3 linked regions of the Callithrix jacchus genome follow. The protein of the gene in region 1 interacts with the protein of each later gene in a pairwise test. Links are inferred from orthologs where the notes say so. Each region holds a gene or a part of one and is shown in the gene's direction. Other genes may lie near its edges. The genes, in order: PPP1R18, CCDC102B and STX11.

Region 1 (4,913 bases):
TGAATTCTAAATCTTTAACATCCAGGCCCTGGCTGCTTCAGGCCAGAGGCTCAAATCCATGGACTAAAGGAGTTGCCCCTTCCACTACTTGCTACTTTATTCTCTGGGTCCAGCTCCATACTCTAAATTCTGAGTTTCAGCCACTGAACTCCAAGAGTCCACATCTCACCAGCAAGGAAGAGCAGGGTATGGAATTCATCTGTCTCCTCACTGTTTAGGGCATGGCATGCTCCCCTTCAACAGTCTCCTAGAAGGAAAGGATCTGCCCTGACCATTCCGCTGGCGGGCACCATTGCTTCTCTCTGTGCCTCTGGGATCCCCCTCCCACTTCGCCACCTCTGGCTTCCACTCCGAGAAGCTGGACCAGGGTCTGCAAGTTCAAAGGCAGTGGCTGTCCCTCCAGGCCCCACACCTTGCCTCAGCACTCCCGGCCCTAGTGTCTGCACCTCCTTAGGCCCTGCCTCTGAACCTAGTCAAGAGGATTCTCCCGTTCTTAACTTGGGGCTTCCTGTTCTGGATGCTCTGCAGGAAAATAAAAGCCTGATTTTTCTACGTACTGCATGTAGTCTGTCAGTGTCTCCCAAGCTGCAGGGCTGAGTTTGGGAAGGAAAGCCAGAGGGAGCCTGCGAGCCCGCGAAGTGGAGTCTGGGCAGCCACCACGCCCTCTGGCAACCGCTGGCCTTCGACCACCGCGCCCCCGCTGACCCGCCCCCACTTTGCCAGAGAGGCCGGGTCCCCATTCCTTCAAATCCCCTTCCCCCACTCCCCAACCCCGCAGCTGACCAAGAGACTCATGGGAGGCAGGTTGAAGCTAGAAAGAGTGGGGACAGCAGCTCTGGTAGGAGAACGAGCTTCCAAAACTGCTGGCTTCTGAGCGCCTCTCCTGCCGCCCCCTCCTCAAGGCCTCCTGGTGGCTGCCCTCGACCCGGCAAAAACAAAGACTGGCCGGAGAAGGCAAAATCGCGGGGAGGGCTGAGAGGCAGGAGATGGGAAGGGCGGGCCCGGCTCCTAGCAGCTGCCGCTTCCTCCCAAAGTCCCACGAGGGGCCTGAGTCACGGGCCACCGCCCTGGGTCGGCGAGCTGGGGGAAGGGATCTGGACACCTGGGTTCTTCAGGGCTACCGGGAGGGAAGCGGTTGAGGGCCCCTGGGGACACAGAGCAGAGGACCAGGGGTTGGGGCGAGTAGGGGGCAGTCCCAGAGCCAGTCCCACGCGCGGTGGGAGGGAGCCCCGCCCTCCCCTCGGGCTCCGCCCTGCGCCCCCTTCCCTCTCCTCATTGTCCTTAGACAAAGCGGTCGCCGCCCCCGCCCGGCCCCCTGATCTCTGTCTCCGTCCCTCCTCCTTTGCTGCCTCTTTCCCTCCTCCTCTCCCTCCTCCTCCCCTCCCTCCAGTCTCCGGATCTCCCTCGGTCCCTCTCTCCTCCTCTTCCTCTCTCTGGACGCCCGGCTCCTCCGCACCCCCTCCCAGGGGGGCCCCACGGCGTGTGAGTTGACTGAGGGGCTTAGACTTGGGGAGGGGGTGTCTCCTCGCTCCCGTCCCTGGCCCGGACCTTGGCTGTCTCCTCTTTGTGCCGAGATTGTCAGTCTGTGCAGCCAGAGCGGGGTGGAGACAGCTGGCTCTGTCACGGCTCCATGAGAGCGGGGACCGGGCATGGGACTCGCAGGCGCTGGAGAGAAGAGGCATGGAGCCGGCCCTCGGCACTCCGGGGTCGCCGGGCGCAGACGGCGGGGGAGGCAGGCGGTATTGACGGGACTGGGTGGGGGTGGATACCAGGGTTCTGGGAACGCGCTGGCAGCCCCGACGCCCGGGTTCCGAAAGTCCCGGGGTGGGTATTTCCCCCGACCCGCCTCGGGGGCGGAGTGCGGGGCAGAGGGGTGGGGGCTGGGGAGAGGCGTGGCCCCAGCGGCACTGGAAGCGGAGCAGGGACCTTTGGGGCCCGCGCTGAGACGCTCCCGGCCGCTACCGCCGCGCTCCCTTCCCCTCTTCCCTGGTTTCCCTTCTCCCCTAGACCTGCTCGCTCTCCGCTCCTCCCTGCCTCCTCGACACCCCCTCAGGTCCCGTTGCCCTCCTCGGGAGGGATTCCCGGTCCTTCCTTCCCACACTCACCTCCCTGGGGTATCGCTGAGGCAGCCAGGCCTGCACCCGGGTTCCCCTCATCCCTGCCCCTTTTCTCTTTTCACCCTCATAGCAACTTTTCTTTTCTCCCATTCTCTGTTTCCCACATCCTAGAGACTGTCTTTAATACGCATTAACCCTGTACTGCCACATCTGGCTCCTGTCCTCATTGCCTCCAATCTGGACTCTTCCTCTCACATCGCCCCCACCACCCCCAACTTGGGCTCATAACTTCTCTTCACTTTTTCCATTTCCCCTGTTCTCTGCCGTCCCTCTTTCCCTTGGTCCTCATCCTCAGCTCCTCTGCCCTGCTCGTGGTCCCACCTCTCCCCCTCCACTTCCTCCCCTCCCACCCTCAGTCTCACTCCCTGGGCCTCTCTGGAGCCTCTTCTTCCTGTTCTCTGCCCCCAGTGCTCCCTACCCTCACCTCAAGGCGACCATGACCACCATCCCAGACTGGAAGCTACAGCTGTTAGCCCGGCGCCGGCAGGAGGAGGCGTCCGTTAGAGGCCGGGAGAAGGCAGAACGGGAGCGCCTATCCCAGATGCCAGCCTGGAAGCGAGGGCTTCTGGAGCGCCGCCGGGCCAAGCTTGGGCTGTCCCCTGGGGAGCCTAGCCCTGTGCCAGGGACTGCAGAAGCCGGACCTGCAGACACAGATGAATCTGCGGTCCTTCAGGAGGCCATCGGGCCAGTGCACCAGAACCGATTCATCCGGCAGGAGCGGCAGCAGCAGCAGCAACGGAGTGAAGAGCTGCTAGCTGAGAGAAAGCCTGGATCTCTGGAGGCCCGGGAGCGGAGACCCAGCCCTGGGGAGATGCGGGATCAGAGCCCCAAGAGAAGAGAGTCAAGAGAAGAGAGACTAAGTCCCAGGGAGACCAGAGAGAGGAGGCTGGGGATAGGGGGAGCCCAAGAGTCGAGCCTGAGGCCTCTGGAGGCTCGGGACTGGAGGCAAAGCCCAGGAGAGGCGGGAGACAAGAGCTCCCGACTGTCAGAGGCACGGAAATGGAGGCTGAGTCCTGTAGAAACTCCAGAGCGGAGTCTGAGACTAGCAGAGTCTCGAGAGCAAAGCCCCAGAAGAAAAGAGGTGGAAAGTAGACTGAGCCCAGGGGAATCTGCCTACCCGAAGTTGGGCCTGACAGAGGCCCATAAATGGAGACCTGACTCCAGAGAGTCTCAGGAACAGAGTTTGGTACAACCAGAGGCAACAGAGTGGAGGCTGAGGTCAGGAGAAGAAAGAAAAGGCTACTCAGAAGAATGTAGGAGAAAAGAAGGGAGGCCAGTTCCAGGGGTGGCCCCAGAAGAGACTACAGAGCTGTCAGAGACCCTGACAAAGGAGGCCCAAGGCAGCAGTTCTGCAGGAGTGGAGGCTGCAGAACAGAGGCCTATGGGAGACAGTGAGAGGGGCATGAAGCCAACAGAAGGGTGGAAATGGACCCTGAACTCTGGGAACGCTCGAGAATGGACACCCAACGACAACGAGGCTCAAACTCAGAAACCAGAACCTCCAGAGTCAGTGGAAAAGCGTCTGGAGCCTCCCGGTGTGGAAGCTGGAGAAGGGGAGGCTGAGAAGGAGGAGGCGGGAGCTCAGGGCAGGCCTCTGAGAGCCCTGCAGAACTGCTGCTCTGTGCCCTCCCCCCTCCCACCAGAGGACGCTGGGACTGGAGGCCTGAGACAGCAGGAAGAAGAAGCAGTGGAACTCCAGCCCCCACCACCAGCCCCTCTATCTCCCCCACCCCCAGCCCCAGCTGCCCCCCAACCTCCTGGGGATCCCCTCATGAGCCGCCTGTTCTATGGGGTGAAAGCAGGGCCAGGGGTGGGGGCCCCCCGCCGCAGTGGACACACCTTCACCGTCAACCCCCGGCGGTCTGTGCTCCCTACGACTCCCCCAGCCACCCCAGCCTCTCCAGCCACAGCTGATGCTGCAGCCCTGGGGGCTGGGAAGAAGCGGTACCCAACTGCCGAGGAGATCTTGGTTCTGGGGGGCTACCTCCGTCTCAGCCGCAGCTGCCTTGCCAAGGGGTCCCCCGAAAGACACCACAAACAGGTAGGGGAACAGCCGAGCCAGACTTCTTAGAAGCCCACTTGTCAATTCTCTCTGGATGCCGGTCTTTCTTTTTTATACCCCTGTATTCTTGTTTTCCTCTATTATTTCTTGTCAATTCCTGCCACCACCCTTCCTCCCTTTGCACACACACCCTTCCTTCTCTGAGCCCTCCTTTTCCATTTTGAACCCAAAAGATCCTGTCCCAGCAAAGGCTGTCTCTGGGTGTGTCTCTTTCAGGGTGTGCCGGCTGCTCATTGTCCCTTCCCTCAGGCTCTGAGTTTCCTACCCGCTTTTCTTTCCTTCCTTTCCTGAGTTTGACCTGCCCCAGCCCATCCAGTGGGAGATCCCAAATGAACAAGCTTGATTCAGTGAGGGCAGGGTCACCAGGTGAAAATACTTGCAGTTTTTCTGGGGAGAAGGGGTAGGGAGCCTGGGGTGTGGAGGGGGTGAGTTTTGGGTTCTAGGGAGAAATTGCAGGGAGAAGTGAATGGAGGAAGTTCCAACTACCCCATGAGAAGGAGGGCAGAGCTGAATAGGGACATCCTAGGACGCAGGGGAGAGGAGAGATGGAACTGGGCTGGCCAAAGAGCAGAGAGAAGGCTTTTGAACCCTGAGTCTGCCCCATGGGAGAGACACAGAGAGGCCATTTGAAGTGGGTGACCTTGGGGTTGCACACCCCCAGCTGGGCCACTGCTTCAGACAGTGCTCCCTTCTCTCTTGGGACAAGAAAAGCCTTCTCTTCCAAAATACCCCCG
Region 2 (4,813 bases), on another chromosome or scaffold:
TCTGATCCACCAGACTGCAAAATCTTTGACACACAAAAATCATGTCTTTTTCATAATATTTTATTTTTAGAGCTTATCACAATATTAACAACAGTAATAAATTAATTCATGTATAAGTTAGATGTGCTTTTGCTTGAAAGTAACAGAAAACTCGACTGTCATAACTTAAATATAGGTTATCCTGCTCACATAGTAAAGAAGTCAGAGGTATGCATTCTAGATTTCATGCCACAATTCACACCTTAAATCACCTCTTTATCTTTATGATTCACCACTTTGAATGTTATGAGAAGCCTCTTAAACTTACTTTCTTCCAGAACCACATCCTTTTTCAAACACGAGGAAGGCAGAGGAAAGAAAGTTCCTCATTGTGATGTTCACATATTTTTCTAGATGGGGAAACCTCAGTATACTTCATCTCACATCCCAGCAGCCAGAGCCAGGCCATAGCCCTGTCATGAAAGTAGTCAACAGTCAATAGATGAAGGGCATCATGGAAAAGGTAGACTATGGTTTAACCTCTGGGATTGGGATAGAGGCTTATTCGCCCATAGATCAATAGGTTCCGCATTCTGCCTGAAATAATTGAGGCTTAATTAGCAGGAAAAAAGAAAACTATTAAGTAGTTATTGGACCTGAAATATTACAGTTTGTATTTTGTAGTGGACAATCTTCTAATAGATAGGACCTGAATAGAACTGGATTTGTCAAAATGAATTTTTTTTTATGTCATATGCTATCTGAAATTGTATCTTTATATTTTGACTTGTATTTGTTTGGCAAAATTGAATATGAGCATTTTCTATTTCTTAGTGGATAGTTACAAATGTTTAAATTCCTCCATATTTTTAGCTACACTGGAAAAATATGCAATATTGAAAAGATGGGGCTGGATGTGGTGGCTCACGCCTGTAATCCCAGCACTTTGAGAGGCCGAGGCAGGTGGATCATGAGGTCAGTTCAAGACCAGCCTGGCCAAGATGGTGAAACCCCATCTCTACTAAAACACAAAATTTAGCCAGGTGTGGTGGCACATGCCTGTAACTCCGGCTACTCGGAAGGCTGAGGCAGGGGAATTGCTTGAATCTGGGAGGCAGAGGTTGCAGTGAGCCAAGATTGGGCTACTACACTCCAGCCTGGTAACAGAGCAAGATTCTGTCTCAAAAAAAAAAAAAAAAGAAAACTAAAAGGAAAATAAAAGAACAAGCAAAAAAGAAAAAAAGCAAAGCAGGAGACACACAAACAAACAAATGCATGTAAAGCAATGTATTTTTTCTTTTTTTAGAAAAGATGCATTGCTTTCATAAATTTTCGAAAATGTAGGTCTTGTTCTTGTAATTGCAAGGGAAATTTCAGAGTGAAATTATGTTCTCTATCTTTTCTTAGGTCTTAACGATAAATATGAATTTAGATTCCATTCATCGGTTAATTGAGGAAACACAGATCTTCCAGATGCAGCAGTCATCAATTAAGTCACACTGTGACATGGTGGCACCTGCCTCACCCACCAGGGATACCTATAATACCTGCTTCCCATTTTATGGGCTACAGTCTCATGCTGCTCACAATTTATGTGCACATTCATGTAACACCAATGAATGGGATATTTGTGAAGAACTTCGCCTCCGGGAACTTGAAGAAGTCAAGGCCAGAGCTGCTCAGATGGAAAAGACCATGCGGTGGTGGTCGGACTGCACTGCCAACTGGAGAGAAAAATGGAGTAAAGTTCGAGCGGAAAGGAACAGTGCCAGGGAGGAAGGAAGACAACTCAGGCTAAAACTAGAGATGGCAATGAAAGAATTGAGTACACTGAAAAAGAAACAGAGTTTGCCACCTCAGAAGGAGGCATTAGAAGCTAAAATCACCCAGGATCTGAAGCTTCCTGGTTTCGTAGAAGAATCCTGTGAACATAGAGAACAATTTCGATTTGGTTTTCAAATGTGTGAGTCTATCAGAGAGTGTTTAGTAAAAAGACAATTTTCTACAAAGGAGGAAACAAATAATAAGGTAAGAAAGAATCCAGAGTTGATGTGAATTTCTGAATGTCATACGTAGTGACGGGAGGAAGAAGGAAGTGACAAATCCAGTGGTGACTATGCTAGTCTGCCAGGGCTACCGTCACAAAGTACCCTAATCAGGGTGCTTTAAGCAACAGAAATGCATTTTCTTACAATTGTAGAAGCTAGTAGTACACGATCAAGGTGCTAGCATGGTTGGTTTCTTCTGAGGCCTCCCTCCTTGGCTTATAGAATACTGATTTCTCCCCGTGTCTTCCATGGTCCTTTCTCTGTACACATGTCTGTGTCTTAAGTTCTTTTAGGACAGTCTAATGAACCTAATTTAACTAAATCATCATCCTAAGGCCCTGTCTTTACTAACAATCACATTCTGAGGTACTGGGGGCTAGGACTTCAACAAATAAATTTTGGGAAAGCACACTTTCAGCCCATACCAGTTGTTTTACTAATATTAATAGGGAAAAAAACTCAACAATTTTTTATCCGAAAAGAAAATATTTGGAGACATTTCTTTCCATTTACCTTAATTTGTCAAAATTGTGAACAATCCATAGTGTAGTTTGAATATTTCTCAAAGTTTGGGACTCAAGCCTCATGATTAACTTCTTATAAAATGGGTACTGCAGGCAAATAGGGTACTTTAGGAAATGCTTCATATGGTCCACACTGATGGAATTTCTTGATATACTTAGAATATCAGTTTCTGAGAATTCTGCACAAAACAAGTGTAACTTTAAAACGTCTATCAGTTTGTACACTTATTCACCCATGAACCGCCACTCTGTTTTGTTTGTTTGAACTTGGTAAATACTATTAACAACCCAAAGAACATACTTTGGGAACTCCTGTTACCTCTTATCATAATATCAGTTTATTTTGTTACCTCTTTTACTTTATCCCACCTCTAATACATATTAGTTAATATCTGGCACCACTACCATTGCATTTAGTGTTTTAAGCCATTCTATAACATATAGAATTTATGGTAGATAAAAACTAGAATTCATTGCAAATAAAATAATGAAGAAGATTACAATAATGTAATTACTTCTTCTTATTTGTTCTTTTACATTTTCTTTTAAAAGCATTCAATGTTGATAATCTAGGCTGTTAGTACCTTTGTATGTATCTTTTGGAAAATCATATATTCTCGAAATTCAGCTATATTAATGTATGCGCTAGAGGAATGTAATGACAAGCATAAGGGAATGTAGCTCACATAATGTTCTCTGAATCCACAAGACTTTTTTATTATTACAAGTTACTAGACTTTGCATTTGAGAGAATGAAGGATTCTCTTCACATGTATTATTATGGAAAATTCTCAGTATCTTGGGATTTCTTCTGAAATATCTTTGTAACATTAATGTCAAGAAGAAATCAAACATAGTAGGTATTTATTAAACTTTATTTATTTGCAAAAAATCCTTCTGGAATTTCCTTCTGATAGTAGGAAAATAAATATTACCTGTTGAAGAAGTTTTAATCATTTTTTTCCTTAAAACTTTGACCTAACTTTGCCAACTCTATGCCCAACAAGAAAGATATGTATATGTATCATTCATCTGACTTCAATACTTTCCATGAACAATACATCTTATTTTATTGTTTGTCAAAATATTATGATACAGATAATTGCAATACTCATTCTTGAGAGAATTGAGGAATGAATTATACTAGGTAATCTGGCACCCATATATTATTTAAAACATAAAATATTGAAGCATTCTGGAGATTTTACTTAAACTTGATTATTCAATGAGATTTTATTTGAAATTGTCTTTCACTTCGAACTTATAAACTAGGGTAAATTTAAATTATAGTCAAATACCAATAGCATGAGTCCTGTGAAGCTTTTGAGTTACGCACTAAGAATATTGACGCAGTTGCTGCTCTAGTATTGATGTCCGTATCAAGTGTCCCATTAAATTCTATTTGAGATGTGACTCATTAACTAAAATAAAGCAATAAGTGAGCTTATTGAAATATTCAAGAGCTTTCTGAAAATTCTATCGTCTTTCAAAAATGTTACAAAAATAATTACTTTGAAACTATGTCTTTCTTATGACAAAAGAAACTTGAAAAAGAATTCATCAACTCATTAAAAAATTCTTTTCAGCTGTTCAACTTTGTGCATGGTTATTTTTAGCTATGATTAGAAAAAGAAAACAAACAAAGAGGTAAAGCAGACCCTTTTAGAAATGTATTTTATTATAACAAGGAAGAACATAGAAAAGTTTGAAGAAGAACTCAAGTAAGTTCAGCCACGTAACACTTTTAGGTACTGATAATGAAATAAAAATATGGATTTGATGCTGTATTGTAACGTTTATTTCTTTATGAAATTGTATTGTTGTCATGATTTTTCTCCTAAGGGGTTTAAATATCCACCATAATTGTTTTATTTTTTCAGGAAGAAGGAGCGGTTATTGATTCTTTAAAATTAAATGACGAGATGAAACCTAATCTAGATAGTGTTGATTTATTCAAGAATGGTGGCTCTGGAAATGGTGAAATGAAACCTGGGCTGAAACTGAAAGCAATAAATCTGCCTTTGGATAATCAAGTAACTGAAATTTCAGCTTTGCAGGTGCATTTGAATGAGTTCCAAAAAATCTTATGGAAAGAAAGAGAGTAAGTGCTAATCATTCTCTACCTTAACCAAGTCTGTTTCAAACCACTTAAAATTGTTAACACTGATAGATCGATCATTTGTTAATGTATTTTATCCATGTTTAGTCGTTACGTTTTAGTATTTAAATAAATTAGTTTGACATATATTTTGAATTTTGAAA
Region 3 (4,913 bases), about 120 Mb from region 1:
CCTCCTGGGTTCAAGCAATTCTCTGCCTCAGCCTTTTGAGTAGCTGGGATTACAGGCATCCACTACCACGCTCAGGTAATTTTTTTATATTTTCAGTAGAGATGGGTTTCACCATGTTGGCCAGGCTGGTCTTGTACTCCTGACCTCGTGATCCACTCGCCTCGGCCTCTCAAAGTGCTGGGATTACAGGCATGAGCCACCTCGCCCAGCAAATAAACTGCATCTTTTAGAACAGTTTTAGACTTACAGAAAAATTGCAAAGGTAGTACAGAATTGCCATAAATTCTATTTCAGATTTTCCATGATTAGCATCTTACATTACATTCCTCAAGACTAATCAACCTTGATTCTTATTATTAATGAAAGTCCTTACTTTACTTAGATTTCCTTAGCTTTTCCCCAAGTCCTTTTTCTGTCGCAGGATCTCATCCAGGATACCACATTACATTTAGTTTTCACATCCTCCTTAGCTTCTTTTAGGCTGTGGCAGTTTTTCAGACTTTCCTTATTTTTATTTTTAATTTTTGTAGAGACAGGGTCTTGCTATGTTGGCCAGACCAGGTCTTGAACTCCTGGCCTTAAGCAATCCTCTCGCTTCAGCTTCCCACAGTGCTGGGATTACAGGTGTGAACCACCACGTCTGGACTGTACTTTTCTTACTTTTGATAACCTGACAACTTCGAGGAATATGGTCAGGTATTTTGTAGGATGTCCCACTATTGAAATTAGTTTGGTATTTTTCTCATTATGAGACAGTGGTTATGGGTTTTGGGGAGGAAGACCACAGAGGTAATGGGCCATATTCATCACATTGTATTAACTACATGTCATCAATATAATTCATGATTGTTGACGTTTACTTAGAACATCTGGCTGGCGTAGTGTCTGTCAGCTTTCTCCATTGTAAAGCTACTCTTTTCCCCTTTCCATACTGTACTATTTTGGAGGAAGTCACTGTGCACTGCCTACGGTAGATGATCTACATAAATTATTTGGAATTATTCTGTGTAGGAGATTTGTCTCCTCTCTGCCTTTTATTTATTTATTCAATTATTTATTTATATGAGTGTAGACTCATGGATATTTTTTACTTTGGCTTTTAATCCAATAAGACTTTGTTTAGTTTACTTCGTTGCTCAAATGGTTCCATCTTTGGCAACTGGGAGCTCTTTCAGGTAGTTCTGTGTTTAAACATTCTCCCATCAAGGCAGGATTCGTTTTTTATTTTTATTTTTCCTTCTCATTCTTTTGCCCAGGCTGAAGTGCAGTGGCAGGATCTAGGCTCACTGCATGCTTGACCTCCTGGGCTCAAGTGATCCTCCCACCTTAGCGTCGCGAGTAGCTGGGACCACAGAGGCGCGCCACCATGCTCAGCTAATTTTTGTATTTTTTGTAGAGATGGGCTTTCACCATATTGTTCAGACTGGTCTCAAACTCCTGGGCTCAAGCGATCCTCCCACCTCAGCCTCCCAAAGTGCTAGGTTATGGGCGCGAGTCACCGCGCCTGGCCCGATTTCCCTTTTTGAATCTCACTTACTTTTCAGCCTCACCTTTGTTTTTCAAGGTGCTTACCGCCACCTGGCACAATCCACACTTTGTTTATGTCTCCCCATTAAAGTGCCAGGACCTGGAGGGGGGGTCTTGGCAGTATTTTTGAGAGCGGTGGTACCCTGGGCACACAAGGGGACGCTCAGCTAATATCCAGGGAATGATGAGCCCGTAGGGTCCTGAGGCCGACTGGAGAGGGGTTGGCCGCCGGGTTCTGGGAAGGCGGTGGTCGGCCGCTGTGTGACCGCAGGCTCCTTGCCCGCCTCCTGGAAGGTCCAGGGGGTGCAGGACCTGCTGCAGCCTCGGCAGCCACACCCACGCTCAGAGACCGCTTCCACCGTCCTCGCCGCGGAAACGCACCGGACGGCAAATGTCATCAGCGCAGCGGGGATTCCCGGGGAAAGTCCACCGCGCTCCCTGCCCTAGGAACCGGAGGATGAGCAGAGGAAGTGCCTCTGGCTGCAAACCTCCCACTCCCCGCGAGGGTCCGCTCCGCCCGCGGGAACTCCCCGAGACGTACGGGAGGTGCTGGAGCGCGTCCCCGGCTCCGGGCGGTCCCGAGCGCAGGGACTCCGGGCGGGGCGGGAACCTGCGCTCCGCGAGCCGCCGCGCCCCGGCGCTGTCATCCCGGGGCGGGGCCTTGTCCCCAGCTGTGGTCGCTTCCTAAGCGGCTAGGGCAGAGCCGGCGGCGCCCAGATGCGGCCGCGGCGGGGCGGAGCTCGGGCCGCAGTGAAGGAGCCCAGCCTCTGCCGCAGGGGACGCGGGAGGCGCCGGGAGCCGAGCCGCCGGGAGTCGCGCAACAGGTTTCCTTCCCCAACGCGGCGCCCACGGGGGACGAGCGCCCGGCCGGGATAGGGGCTTCTCGGTTCGAACTCTCGCTCCGGGTACTGGTTTGTTTTTCTGTCCCTGAGCTCCCCATTTCTCTACCTATTCCCGGTGCGCGGAGAGTGCGGGGAGGTGGGCGGGCCGGGGCGGGGACACTGTCTGGGCTCCGGATCCGCGGCGGTGCCTTAGTGGGTTTTGGTGCAGGGCCTCACGCCGCCTCTGGGCACCTTCGAGAACACAGCACTGGGTTTCTCATATAAAGCGGAATGATATTTTTTGAATTACTTTTAATTTCAGAGGCCAAGGGACTGAGAATTTAGCGCTTCATAGGAATTATTTTAGGGATACCCGTTGGTAGGCTGCCTTTATAAAGCGTCCACCTAAGACTACCTTTAAGTTGAAAGGCTGAAGTGTTTCTTTGTTATCACCTCTTCATTTCCTATTAGGGTGACTGTGTCAAAAACACCAGAATGGGTACCTCTTGACTTGAACTTGGCACTGTCACCCAGAAGCCGGGAGAGACGGAGAAATTGATAGAGCCTTGGAGCAGTCCCTTCAAAGCCCACATAAGACTTTGTTTTAGAAAAATGGAGAGGAAGGGTAGTGGCAATCCTGCGAGAACCACTCTGTCCAAGAGGGAATTCTGCCTTTTTCTAGACTCCTCTGACACCAGCTGAGCTCTGTATTACTTCCTGTGGTTCTCACGCACTTGTTTCAGCCGTTTCTCAGCAAAGGGAGGAGTTGTTATTTACGGGTATCCAAAAATGAGTCACACGGCTGCTCTCTTAATTGTGAGACTTTGTTAATGAACTTTTTGAAAAGCGAGGCTTGCTCTGTCTGTATTTAAAATGAGGCTCTAGATGTGAAATGCCTGCCCTGCTAACCTGGGGCAGTGGTATGGGTAGTGATGATTTGAGTTTTCAGTTTCCTAAGGCGCCTGATGTTACAACATGCCAGTAAAGGTCACTGGGCTGATCTAAGATAACCATTAAAATCATGTGCTTTGCCACAGAAGCCCAAGGGAAAATTAATTTCAGTATCTAGTGACCATTTTGTCCTCATTTTCACTGCATGGTAGAAATGTATCATTTAATGTGGTGACTGTAACTCTCTAAAATCAAAATATTTCTAACAATTTGTATTTACTAAATTGATGCTAAAACCACACGACGATTTTTGAAGTGGGTAGGTCCCAGCAGGAGCAGAGAAATTTAAAAGTTGAAACTCACAGGTCCCATTGTAGTGGGTAGCAGCGCTTAGGCAAGGTCTGCACAGGCTCTCAACATGATAGAAAAGGGAGCACCATCTCTACTGGAGCTGAGTTGAGCTGAGTTCAGCCCCAAACAACAGTTACCAGGCACCTTCTCTGTGCCAGCCTCTTCTCTGAACCTTGCTTGTGCAACTAGGAATAAAAGGATCCTGCTGACAAGCTGCTAGGGTAAATCTACACCCAGATGGATGTTTCTGTCCCAATATAACTCAGTAAGCTGGGTCCCAGTGTATTTAAAAATTAAACAGCCAGTTACTACCCCTAGATAATTACAGTCACCTTTAGTTCATAGTGTGACTTTTAGGAAATAGTGTGACTAAATAATAGTTTATTTAAATACACTGGAAAATCCATTATATATGTGCTAGGGTACATCTATGCCCAGAGTGAAGTTTCTGTCCCAATATGACTGATGTTTCTGCAGATCTGGGATTTGGAATGGACTGGGTCATGGCTGGAAAAGCGAGGAAGCTTTTGAGTTGACTCATTTACTTGTCTTTGTAGGCAGCCTATTCTTCATTTGATACATGATTTAAAAAATATGAATTAGAAAGGTATGGTTTTTAAAGCATTTGAATGAACCATATTTCATACTATTTAATAACCATGTGAAACTAAACTCAGCTGATTATCACCCCTGGACAATTGCAGTCACCTTTAGTTAACAGCATGACTTTTAGAAAATAGTATGACTAATTAATAGGTTGTTTTGTTTTGTTTTGTTTTGAGAGAGTCTCACTCTGTTGCCCAGGCTGGAGTGTAGTGGCGCAATCTTGGCTTGCTGGAATCTCCACCTCCCGCATTCAAGCAATTCTCGTCCTTCAGCCTCCCAAGTAGCTGGGACTACCAGCTCCCACCACAACAACCGGCTAGTTTTTGTATTTTTAGTAGAGTCAAGGTTTTGTCCTGTTGGCCCAGCTGGTCTCAAACTCCTGACTGCAGGTGAGCTGCTCACCTTGACCTCCCAAAGCGCTGAGATTGCAGGTGTGAGCCACCATGCCCTGCCTAATAGTTTATAAATTGATAACACTATATTGAGGCAAGTTTCTGATCATTGTTTTTGCAGTTCAAATCAATGTTTTTAGCACGTTATAGCCATATGAGCCCAAATGCATAAACATACTGTATCACAGTTTACTGTTGCAATTGAAATCTGCTGAGAGGCTTTTAGACTTGATGCCCAAGTATCAAGGTTTCCAAGTTTCCCCAGTTTGCTAAGATACCCAACTAGTAAAGGTAACAATGCTAAATTGGAGACAAATTGGCCTTA

What was found.
Region 2: the proteins of PPP1R18 (region 1) and CCDC102B interact in binary tests that used the Homo sapiens proteins (3 or more experiments, as listed by UniProt). The two-hybrid records come from large-scale screens. The link is inferred for Callithrix jacchus from reciprocal best matches to the Homo sapiens genes PPP1R18 and CCDC102B.
Region 3: the proteins of PPP1R18 (region 1) and STX11 interact in binary tests that used the Homo sapiens proteins (3 or more experiments, as listed by UniProt). The two-hybrid records come from large-scale screens. The link is inferred for Callithrix jacchus from reciprocal best matches to the Homo sapiens genes PPP1R18 and STX11.

The regions. Positions count from the first base shown.
Region 1 is NC_133505.1:35,482,216-35,487,128, reverse strand, and holds the start of PPP1R18 (phostensin), read left to right. Parts: upstream 1-1,388; 5' UTR 1,389-1,680; coding exon 1,681-1,739; intron 1,740-2,525; coding exon 2,526-4,158; intron 4,159-4,913.
Region 2 is NC_133514.1:111,491,933-111,496,745, forward strand, and holds part of CCDC102B (coiled-coil domain-containing protein 102B), read left to right. Parts: intron 1-1,386; coding exon 1,387-2,007; intron 2,008-4,431; coding exon 4,432-4,652; intron 4,653-4,813. UniProt on the Homo sapiens protein: During interphase, forms fibers at the proximal ends of centrioles to maintain centrosome cohesion. During mitosis, dissociates from the centrosome following phosphorylation to allow centrosome separation. Contributes to CROCC/rootletin filament formation.
Region 3 is NC_133505.1:150,901,392-150,906,304, forward strand, and holds the start of STX11 (syntaxin-11), read left to right. Parts: upstream 1-2,226; 5' UTR 2,227-2,432; intron 2,433-4,913. UniProt on the Homo sapiens protein: SNARE that acts to regulate protein transport between late endosomes and the trans-Golgi network.